Linked DNA regions of Danio rerio. The protein of the gene in region 3 binds, or shares a complex with, the protein of the main gene of each other region. Links are inferred from orthologs where the notes say so. Each region holds a gene or a part of one and is shown on either strand. Other genes may lie near its edges. The genes, in order: eif2b1, eif2b3 and eif2b2.

What was found.
Region 1: the proteins of eif2b2 (region 3) and eif2b1 are in contact, whole or in part, in a cryo-EM structure (PDB 7F64), measured with the Homo sapiens proteins. The link is inferred for Danio rerio from reciprocal best matches to the Homo sapiens genes EIF2B2 and EIF2B1. Residues at the interface, in NP_055054.1 of Homo sapiens: Glu107, Ser108, Leu109, His110, Leu112, Leu113, Thr114, Ser115, Asn242, Phe278, Asn280, Glu281, Glu282, Ser334, Tyr337, Arg338; in NP_001405.1 of Homo sapiens: Leu71, Arg74, Phe75, Leu78, Arg96, Leu99, Phe100, Arg103, Lys110, Thr117, Phe118, Lys120, Ser232, Phe235, Leu283, Asp287, Leu288, Val290, Thr292, Ser294, Ala295, Asp298, Glu299, Leu300, Lys302, Leu303.
Region 2: eif2b2 (region 3) and eif2b3 share a complex: the UniProt entries of both Homo sapiens proteins name them as parts of the translation initiation factor 2B (eIF2B) complex. The link is inferred for Danio rerio from reciprocal best matches to the Homo sapiens genes EIF2B2 and EIF2B3.

What each region holds. Positions count from the first base shown.
Region 1 is NC_133180.1:75,662,974-75,666,632, reverse strand, and holds part of eif2b1 (translation initiation factor eIF2B subunit alpha), read left to right. Parts: intron 1-2,158; coding exon 2,159-2,295; intron 2,296-2,618; coding exon 2,619-2,735; intron 2,736-3,095; coding exon 3,096-3,208; intron 3,209-3,557; coding exon 3,558-3,626; intron 3,627-3,659.
Region 2 is NC_133177.1:37,042,153-37,046,456, reverse strand, and holds the start of eif2b3 (translation initiation factor eIF2B subunit gamma), read left to right. Parts: upstream 1-1,429; 5' UTR 1,430-1,689; intron 1,690-1,937; 5' UTR 1,938-1,945; coding exon 1,946-2,093; intron 2,094-4,304. UniProt on the Homo sapiens protein: Acts as a component of the translation initiation factor 2B (eIF2B) complex, which catalyzes the exchange of GDP for GTP on the eukaryotic initiation factor 2 (eIF2) complex gamma subunit.
Region 3 is NC_133195.1:49,881,787-49,885,445, reverse strand, and holds part of eif2b2 (translation initiation factor eIF2B subunit beta), read left to right. Parts: intron 1-1,343; coding exon 1,344-1,464; intron 1,465-1,627; coding exon 1,628-1,779; intron 1,780-2,375; coding exon 2,376-2,539; intron 2,540-3,659. UniProt on the Homo sapiens protein: Acts as a component of the translation initiation factor 2B (eIF2B) complex, which catalyzes the exchange of GDP for GTP on eukaryotic initiation factor 2 (eIF2) gamma subunit.

The DNA.
Region 1 (3,659 bases), on a different chromosome or scaffold from region 3:
CTGATGCTTGATGTAGATGGGAACTAATGTGAACCGATGCTTGATTTGGATGTGAACTAGTGTGAACCGATGCTTGATTTGGATGTGAACTAGTGTGAACCGATGCTTGATTTGGATGTGAACTAGTGTGAACCGATGCTTGATGTGGATGGGAACTAATGTGAATCGATGCTTGATTTGGATGTGAACTAATGTGAACTGATGCTTGATGTAGATGGGAACTAATGTGAACCGATGCTTGATTTGGATGTGAACTAGTGTGAACCGATGCTTGATGTGGATGGGAACTAATGTGAATCGATGCTTGATTTGGATGTGAACTAGTGTGAACCCATGCTTGATGTGGATGTGAACTAATGTGAACTGAAACTGGATAATATAGATGTGGATCAATGTGGGTGTGAGCCTATGCTTGATGTGAACTACTGTGAACTGATGCTTGATTTAGATGTGAACTAATGTGAACTAATACTTGACATAGATGTGATTGTAAACCGATGCTTGATGTGCATGTGAACCGACTCCTGATGTGGGTGTGAACTGATGCTTGATGTGGATATAAACTAATGTGAAGATATAATTGATATAGATGTGAACAGATTCTTGATGTGAATGTGAAATGATGTGAACTAGTGTGAACCGATGCTTGATGTGGATGGGAACTAATGTGAATCGATACTTTATGTAGATGGGAACTGATGCTTGATAAGGTTGTGAAATTATGTGAACTAATGTGAACCGTTTCTTGATTTAAATGTGAACTAGTGCGAACTGATGCTTGATGTAGATGGGAACTAATGTGAACCGATGCTTGATTTGGATGTGAACTAGTGTGAACCGATGCTTGATTTGGATGTGAACTAGTGTGAACCGATGCTTGATTTGGATGTGAACTAGTGTGAACCGATGCTTGATGTGGATGGGAACTAATGTGAATCGATGCTTGATTTGGATGTGAACTAATGTGAACTGATGCTTGATGTAGATGGGAACTAATGTGAACCGATGCTTGATTTGGATGTGAACTAGTGTGAACCGATGCTTGATGTGGATGGGAACTAATGTGAATCGATGCTTGATTTGGATGTGAACTAGTGTGAACCCATGCTTGATGTGGATGTGAACTAATGTGAACTGAAACTGGATAATATAGATGTGGATCAATGTGGGTGTGAGCCTATGCTTGATGTGAACTACTGTGAACTGATGCTTGATTTAGATGTGAACTAATGTGAACTAATACTTGACATAGATGTGATTGTAAACCGATGCTTGATGTGCATGTGAACCGACTCCTGATGTGGGTGTGAACTGATGCTTGATGTGGATATAAACTAATGTGAAGATATAATTGATATAGATGTGAACAGATTCTTGATGTGAATGTGAAATGATGTGAACTAGTGTGAACCGATGCTTGATGTGGATGGGAACTAATGTGAATCGATACTTTATGTAGATGGGAACTGATGCTTGATAAGGTTGTGAAATTATGTGAACTAATGTGAACCGTTTCTTGATTTAAATGTGAACTAGTGCGAACTGATGCTTGATGTAGATGGGAACTAATGTGAACCGATGCTTGATTTGGATGTGAACTAGTGTGAACCGATGCTTGATTTGGATGTGAACTAGTGTGAACCGATGCTTGATTTGGATGTGAACTAGTGTGAACCGATGCTTGATGTGGATGGGAACTAATGTGAATCGATACTTTATGTAGATGGGAACTGATGCTTGATAAGGTTGTGAAATTATGTGAACTAATGTGAACCGTTTCTTGATTTGAATGTGAACTAGTGTGAACTGATGCTTGATGTGGATGGGAACTAATGTGAACCGATGCTTGATTTGGATGTGAACTAGTGTGAACCGATGCTTGATGTGGATGGTAACTAATGTGAACCGATGCTTGATTTGGATGTGAACTAATTTGAACCGATGCTTGATTTGGATGTGAACTAATTTGAACCGAAACTTGATATGGATTTGAAACCATGTGAACCTATGCTTGATTTGGATGTGAATCGATTCTTGATGTTTACTGATGTGAACTAATGTGAACCGATACATGATATAGATATGAGAGGATGCTTGATGAGGATGTGAAACGATATGAACCGATGTTTGATGTAAACCGATGCTTGTCCTCCTGCAGGTGAAACGATTCTGGGCCTGAGAGAGAACATGACTCAGGCCATTCACAGGCTGCAGGAGGCCGATTCATCCGTCGCCGTGTCATCTGGCGGAGAACTATTCCTGCGCTTCATCAGTCTCACATCACTGGAACATCCGGTCAGTTCAGCATTTCACTCCATCTAGCAGATCTGTTCTGTTTTTATGTAGAAAAAACTGTACTTCTAACTAGCTTACAGAATTTCAGCATTGCATTTTTACTGTTCCTAAATATCACCGACATTTTTAACAATGTGCAGGATAATGTACATCCAGCCAGTTGTACACCACAGAATAAATAACTATACACCAGCTGCTGATAAACCTGTCTGGCTTTAATCTGCGAGAACATCCGGCTGGATGTACATTATCCCTTACTTCAATATGATTTACGGATCATTTCCGTGATTCCTCTTGTACTGTCTTTGTTTTCTGTTCACCAGGATCTCTCCCAGTGTAAGAATGTGATGATCGAGCGAGGTGAACTCTTCCTGAAGAAAATCTCCCTCTCCAGGGGGAAAGTGGGTAAACTGTGCCACACCTTCATCAAAGACGGCGCTGTAAGTAGTCCGCTAAAGACGAAATGGCGTGTTGCTTTAGCATTATATTGCTCAAATGTGACCTTTAAGGAAATCGTTTGTTAGCATAGAGACACGATTGTTTGAAAATCTGCATTAAGGTCTAAATATGGAGAATATCACCTTTAAAAGTTGTTTAAGTTGCATATTACTAATCAAACATTGAGTTTTGATGTATTTATGGTAGGTAATTTGATTGAAGATGATCTTTACTTAGTACTGTCATGATTTTTGGGGTAATAGAAACATCTATAATGTTGACTCATGCAATGTTTTGTTGACTTTGCCTACAAATATACTAAATTCAGCTTGAATCACAAATCTGCTTTCCATGACTTGCAGAAAATCCTGACCCACTCCTCATCTCGAGTGGTCCTGAAGGTTCTGGAGAACGCAGCGGCTGATAACAAACGCTTCACAGTGTACGTGACTGAATCACAGCCCGATTCAGCAGGGTGAGTCTTCACGCTGTTAAAATATGTATATAGCTTAAGGGGGCTAATAATATTGACCTTAAAGTGGTTTTAAAATAATTGCTTTTATTTTAGCTGAATTAAAACAGGTAAGACTTTCTCCAGAAGAAAAAATATTATAGGAAATACTGTGAAAAATTCCTGAATCTGTGAAACATCATTTGGGAAATATTTGAAAAATAAAAAAACAACTTATTAAATCTGACTTCAACTTTATATATTAAAAAAATAATAAAGTAAAAATTCTATGGTCAATATTATTAGTGTATATAGTATCTATTTTTTAAGTGTTAATGTTTTATTCATGTTTTTTCCCCCTGTTTCATCATAGTAAACTTATGGCTGAAAAACTCCGCAAGCTCAGCATCCCAGTCACAGTAGTGCTCGACGCTGCAGTCGGGTGAGTTTATTACTCTGTGTTTTACAGTAGTCA
Region 2 (4,304 bases), on a different chromosome or scaffold from region 3:
ATTGTCTTTTACAATTCATATATTCAGATTTTTCATTCAGATTTTCATTTACCATAAACCGACATGTCTACTATTTGGTAGAGGTTGACTTTTTTTTTTTAATTATGGAACGTGTTGAAAAAATGCATTGAGTGTTTTAACTAGAGACATTAGTAGTTAAGAAATGCTATCCAAAAATGTTTTTCTTGGTGGGGCAGTTAAAGGGTTAAACATAATAGGGTGAGCCTAAAGTTGGACATTGCCTAATGTGGGACACCTATGATATATAAAACTATTAAAAAAAAATATCTGGGTATTTTATGCAAAAGTATTTTTAAAATAAAACAAAACATGAAGGAAGAATAAATCATATTTAACTATCTTGTTATATTAATTAAAAAAAAAAGTATACCATAGTGTTTGTTATCGTCATTCATTCATTCATTCATTCATTCATTCATTCATTCATTCATTTTTTTTTGTTTATTCCCCTTATTCATCAGGGGTCGCTACAGCAGAATGAACCGCCAACTTGTCTAGCTTATGTTTTACACAGCAGGTGCCCTTCCAGCTGCAACCCATCACGGGGAAACATCCATTCACATGCATACACTACAGCCAATTTAGTTTATTCAATTCACCTATAGCGTATTTCTTTGGACTGAGGGGGAAACTGGAGCACTGGGAGGAAACCCACGCCAACACGGGGAGAACATGCCAACTCCACACAGAAATGCCAAATGACCCAGCCAGGGCTTAAACCAGTGACCTTCTTGCTGTGAAGCGACAGTGCTAATTACTTAGCCACCGTGTCTCCCAGTTTGATATAGTATAAAATGAAAAAAAGCAACAACTAAATACTTTATCATAAAATTCAATATGCCCATTCAACGCATATTTTTAATAAACCTGCTAAAATGCCCAGTAAATGAAATTTTTTTCTGGAAAATTAATACTTATGAGCATGACTAATACATTATAAATGTATTGTCTCGATTTAACACATTTATTAAAATTTCAACATGTCAAATTCTTATCAATGTTTTTGAAAACCATGAATATTAAATACAAAGAAGAGGGCTGGGCAATAATATGCTACATAATAATTTTACAAAGTTTAGACTAGGTAAACTATTTGTATAGCTGCTTTGAAACAATAATTATTATGAAAAGCTCTATATAAATAAACGTGAATTGAACTTTACAAGCAAAAATTACAAAAATGGAAAACAAATAGCCTCATTCACAATCTGAATCATCTATATAACAACAATAGAAGAATACGTATCCAGTTCATTACAAACATATACCCAAACTACATCAAATCAAGATAAATACAAGTAATAATCGAAATTATCATCGAAATCCTCAGGCTTTCTCTTTCTGCTTCACACAGAGGAACCAATTCTCTCTGCGGAACCAAAGTTAGAGTCGTGTTTTCCGTCCGACGCATTTCAAAGTAACGGTCTTATGTCATTATACAGAAATCTTGATAGTTTTTTTGCAGACAGCCAGAGATTAAACATTGTGACAGTTTTCACTTGTTATTAAACTTTTCATTTATCTAGTTAGAAACTCTCGGTTTTAACAGAACTTATTTGAAGACGGCGAGGCAAGCCTGATCCATATGAACGTCTGCTACAGTGCTGCAGCTTTCACGTGCACGGACTCGATACTTTACACATTATAAACATTTGATAATAAACACAGGTAAGTCGACTGTGTGTGTATTTCTGAACTCGTCGATAAATAGTAGCTTCAGAAGTAGTTATGTTTCATCGTGCGGCTCAGCTGACGAATGTAGATGATGAAATGAGAGTCCTGACAGGCGTAATGTCTTAAACATGACAAGGAAATACATATATTGAACATAATACTCCGTCTGTCACTTTGCTGGATTGTTTTGTTGTTAGTGTTGTTGTTGTTTGTGGACTAAACGTGTTGTTTTGTTCTGCAAGTGTTCGGGATGGAGCTACAGGCGGTGCTGATGGCAGCCGGTGGAGGCTCCAGGATGATGGATCTCACCTATAACACCCCCAAACCTCTGCTTCCTGTGGGCAACAAACCCCTCATCTGGTACCCCCTTAACCTGCTGGAGAGAGTGGGATTTGAAGGTAAACCTACTGTCTTATCAGATAACAAAGTTCATTAGAAGTGTCACCTGCTGAGTGTATGAGGTGTACAATATTCAACACCGTTATCTAGTAAACTCGGCATTTAACACACACTTTTTCATATTGTTATTTTAGATTTTGTAATTAGGGTCTGCCTATAAAGATTGTGTTGGTGGATATGACTGATATGCTCTGCATTTTTTGGTCATCTGTAATACAGTATGGGTTCAAATGGTATTCAAATATCCTCTTTAATTATTATAGAGCAGGGCGATTAATTGAAAAGTAATAGAAATCGACATTCAGAACCTATAATCGATCAAAATTTTTCTTGTCAATTTTTTTCAATTACTTTCCCTACAGTGTGTGGAGTCACGTTAGCCTACTCTGTTAAGCCTGATATATACTTTTGCATTGAACGCATGGGTATGGTCTGGAGCAGCTTTTAAGTGGACGAATACTCGCGCACCTCTCGAAAAATGTAACTACAGATCGCACATTTGCATTACATTGACGATGATTGGAAGCTGCATCAGAGAAGCCTTGAGACAGCGTATTTTCTATTACAATAAAATTATTATTCACATTAAAATATTTGTTTACAGACGATTCAAGAAATACAGTTTAAAATATTAATAACATGATATACAAAAGTTGTTACATTCTGAAGAGATTCTGCTTATTTTCTTTTTAAAACATTGAAAATAATTGATTTTGTTTTCAAAAGTGCAAGTTATTTGTTTTCACTTTTTTATAAGAAAATAGTGACTGTTCGTTTTAAGCAATGTGTGTTTTAATTTCAAATCACTTTTACTGTCACATCATCAGCAGTATGTGTGCTATGATGAGTGAAAAGCTTAGTTGAAAAAATTTCAGTTGTTCAACACTGATGTTCAGTAAATAATCATAGATAGTAAATATCTTAATCAAGTAAAGCACCGTTCATTCAAAAATCTCTCACTTGTAAAATGTGAGCATATTTACTGTACAAAACCTGTCAGTGAACTATGAGTTCAAAAAATCGAGTTAAAATGTTCAGTTAATTGAGATTGAGAGATTATTTTTATTTTTATTATTATAAAGTAGGTTTCATCTGTAATTCAATCAAACAATCACCTTACTACAATCACCAGTAAAATTAAATTACACATTAAAACACAGACAATGACGAAGAACAAAATCAAAGCAATGATGTCAATAAAACAATCATACTAATTTAAACTGCTGAACATCAAATGCTATTCTAAGTAAATGGGGTTTAAGTTTAGCTTTAAGTAGTGCTGCATTTGTGATGGTGTGTTTTTTGGTTATTTATATTTATATTTTTAGGTTATATTTATTATTGTATTTTTTTTCATGCGAATTAAGTAGGGCTGCACAATATATAGTTTCAGGATCAATATCGCAATGTGATCATTCGCATAAGTCACATCGCAAGTATGTGTAATGTTGAGTCTGGATTATAATGTAGCTTATTGCAAGTGTTTTTTGAGGCCTACGACTTTCAGAGGCTTTTAAAGGCATGAGAATATTTACCATTTGCAACTCTCAAATATTAATAATGATTAATTTTATCGAACTGTTTGTAAAATAAATACTTTGCACTATTATCTTACATTTGAATATTCAATTATTTTATACCTGATGACATTTTAACTTTTTAAAATAAAATTCAGTTTATTTAATTAGCATATTTAGATTTTTGAATTTATCTATGCTTGTAGATTGTTTCTTATATTTTATGCACTCTACTACAGAATTATCCCAATCAATCTGAAATTATAAATTCTTTCTAAACAGTTATTCTACTCATCTAGTGAAATTGTATTCATATCGCAATATATATCGTAGAATAAAAATTTTTTTGCAATGCAAAATTTTTCCAATATCGTGCAGCCCTTGAATTAAATGTATGTATGTATGTATGTATATATATATATATATATATATATATATATATATATATATATATATATATATATATATATATATATATATATATATATATAAATATATACACACACACACACACACACACACACACACAATAACCATCAATAGCCCTTTTCCAATATCGTGCAGCCCTTGAATTAAATATATATATATATATATATATATATATATATATATATATATAAATATATATATACATATATATATATATATATATATATATATATATATATATATATATATATATATATATATATA
Region 3 (3,659 bases):
GTTTATATCGAAGTTATATCGTACTATATTGGTGTTTCGTGACGTAGTTTTTATGAGGCAATTAGCCCAATGCTGAACCTCCAATCTGGAGGACCAGGACATACACGACGGCCAATTTAGCTTACTCAATTCACCTATAGTGCATGTCTGTGGACTGTGGTGGAAACCTGGAGCACCCAGAGGAAACCCACGCCAACACGGGAAGAACAAGCAAACTGCACAATGTCACTCCACACAGAAATGCCAACTGAACCAGCCGGGACTCGAACTAGTGACCTTCGTGCTGTGAGGCGACAGCGCTACCCACTGCGCCTGTAATTTTTAATATAACTCTATATTGTATAACTGCTTTTATAACTCTATGTAAAAAGATCATCTTATTTATTGTTTTTTTATTACAAGTTAATTTGCAGTGTTTCTTTCAAATAGAGTTGCATATTATTTTAATAAATCTAATTATTAGTCTAATTATTTTAGTCTAAATTTGCATTTTGATGTTCATTGTTTGATTTTTGAATCATTTACATTTACATTTAGCAGACGTTTTTATCCAAAGCGACTTACAAACGAGGACAAGGAAGCACTTTACACAACTTTAAGAGCAGCAATGAATAAGTGCTGTAGGCAAGTTTCAGGTATGTAAAGTGTAAGAAGCAAAACATTAGTTATTTTTTTTAATTATTATTATTTTGTAGTACAGTTAGCAGTGGAGCCAGAGAGGCAATTGCAGATTAGGAAGTGAAGTGGAGACTAAATAGTTGAGTTTTTAGTTGTTTCTTGAAGACAGCGAGTGAACTCTGCCGTTCTGATGCAGTTAGGGAGTTCATTCCACCAACTGGGCAGATTGAGCGTGAGCGTTCGCGAAAGTGATTTCTTCCCCCTTTGGGATGGAACCATGAGGCGACGTTCATTCACAGAACGCAAGTTTCTGGAGGGCACATAGATCTGCAGAAGTGAGAGCAGATAAGAAGGAGCACAGCCAGAAGTCGCTTTGAATTTTATGCGATCAGCAACTGGCAGCCAGTGCAAACGGATGAGCAGCGGAGTGACATGTGCTCTTTTAGGTTCATTAAAGACCACTCGTGCTGCTGCCTTCTGTAGAAGCTGAAGAGGCTTAATAGAGTTAGCTGGAAGCCCCGCTAGTAAAGAGTTGCAGTAATCCAGTCTGGAGAGAACAAAAGCTTGAACAATCACTTTAGATATAGTTTATATAGTGCATAATTATATAATTACATAGTTTACTTAATTTTTTTGTCTTTTTAATGTATTTATTTGTTCTTTTTAAATCTTATGCTTGTTAATTATTTAGTTTTAAGTTTTTTGACAGATCCTCCTCTTTTAAGGTGAACTGATGGAGATCATCCGGAAGGAGGGCAGGAGGATGACAGCAGCTCAGCCATCTGAGACCACAGTCGGTAACATGATCCGCAGGGTGCTGAAGATCATTCGAGAAGAATATGCCAGGTCAGATATTAAGGCAGTATCTGCAAAAATCACAGCTAGACCACTCATTAAAACAACACATATAAATGGCCCACCCTGCATAATATTTAATAAATAAAATATGTAAAAATCACCATACTGTTTTTTTCATGTGGATGAGCTGGAGATGATATGTTGTCTTCAGGTCCAGAGGCAGCAGCGAGGAGGCGGATCAACAGGAATCTCTGCACAAGCTGCTGACGTCTGGAGGATCCAGTGAAGACAACTTCAGACAGCACTTCGCTCACCTCAAAGCCAACGTCATCGAAGCCATCAATGAGCTGCTGACAGAGCTGGGTGAGGATCCATAGAGAGGCTATATATTCTCCTAATATTTGGGAGGTTTTGTGTTTTAGCCCACATAAAAAAAACACTGCAGTGATTTACAGTAAATACTATAGTGTTTTTGTACTATACTAAGTGTATTATACTGTGCATAATAGACTATTTACTCTGTTGATGAGCACTATAGCATACTGTAGTATTACCTATAGTGAACTGATAAACTGTAATAAATGCAGTAGTTTTACCAGAGATGGGTTGCGACTGGAAGAGCATTCGCTGCGTAAAAACTTGCTTAATAAGTTGGCGGTTCATTCCGCTGTGGCGACCCCGGATTAGTAAAGGGACTAAGCCGACAAGAAAATGAATGAATGTATGAAATACAGTAGTGTACTTTAGTTTTTACTACAGTAATATATGGTGCATTGTAGTTTACTATACACTCACCGGCCACTTTATTAGGTACACCTTACTAGTACCAGGTTGGAGCTTCTTTTGCCAGAACAGCCTTGTGGCATAGAGTACTGGAAATATTCCTCAGAGATGTTGGTCCATGTTGAAGTAAATGTGGCGCTGATGTCGAGTGTTATTGTGGTGATTTGTGTTTTCAGAGGGCACCACAGACAACATCTCCATGCAGGCGCTGGAGCACATTCACTCCAATGAGGTGATCATGACCATCGGCCGCTCCAGGACTGTGGAGGCTTTTCTGAAAGACGCGGCGCGCAAACGCAAGTTCCACGTCATCGTAGCCGAGTGTGCGCCTTTCTGTCTAGTGAGTGCATGTTTATCATGGTCATTTTGGAAAAACACTGTTAATTTTTACATTACTGGCAAAACGGCAGGGTTGTTGTTGCTAGAAGGGATACAGCTGTGGCCGGAAGTTAACAAGAATTATGATTATTAAATTGGCCATTAATTGTACTTTATTAAGGGGTGACACTGTTCGTGTTAGCACTGTCACCTCACAGCAAGAAAGTCACTGGCTCGAGTCCCAGCTGGGTCAGTTGGCATTTCTGTGTGGAGTTTGCATGTTCTCCCTGGGTTTCCTCTGGGTGCTCCGGTTTCCCCCACAGTCCAAAGACATGTGCTACAGGTGAACTGAATAAGCTAAATTGGCCAGAGGGTGTAAGTTTAAATGTGACAGTGTATGGGTGTTTCCCAGTACTAGGTTGGATAAGTTGGCGGTTCATTCCACTGTTGTGACCCCTGATGAATAAAGGGACTATGAATGAATGAATTTTATTAACGCCTACCCCTAACTCACCCCTAAATCCAACCAACACAGTAATGTTACATCAGTAATTATACTGAATATTATTTATATTATTATTCCTACAATTTTTCATTGGATTTTATTTTATTAATGCCTACCCCCAACCCAATGCAAAAAATAGTATTATTGTTGCACAGTGTCAGAAATTATGCTGTATTGATGCAAGTATCCGCAGCTGTATCCCTTCTAGATGTTACCGACAGGCAGCCCTGAGCGAACAACAGTCATTGGACAACAATATACTTTATAATAATTATATAATATTCAAATATTAATATAAAATATTTGATAACACTTAATATAACATATTAAATGTAATTAAACTCAAATGCAGCATTGCATTGTTATTATTATTAAATTAATGCTATTTTCTTTCATAATTATTTAATATAATACTATAAAGTGCAAAAATAGTAAACATTTAAGTATTTAATATTCAATAATTCAACAGTCTACATAAAAACTACATAATATTAAAATGAAATTTTATATTAACATGTATTTTTAAATATTAAGTTACATTAAATTAGAATTAAATGTAGCATTGCATTGTTTTTGTTATTAATAAATACCATTGTCTAATAAATATTTAATATATAAGCATTTAAAATATTAAATA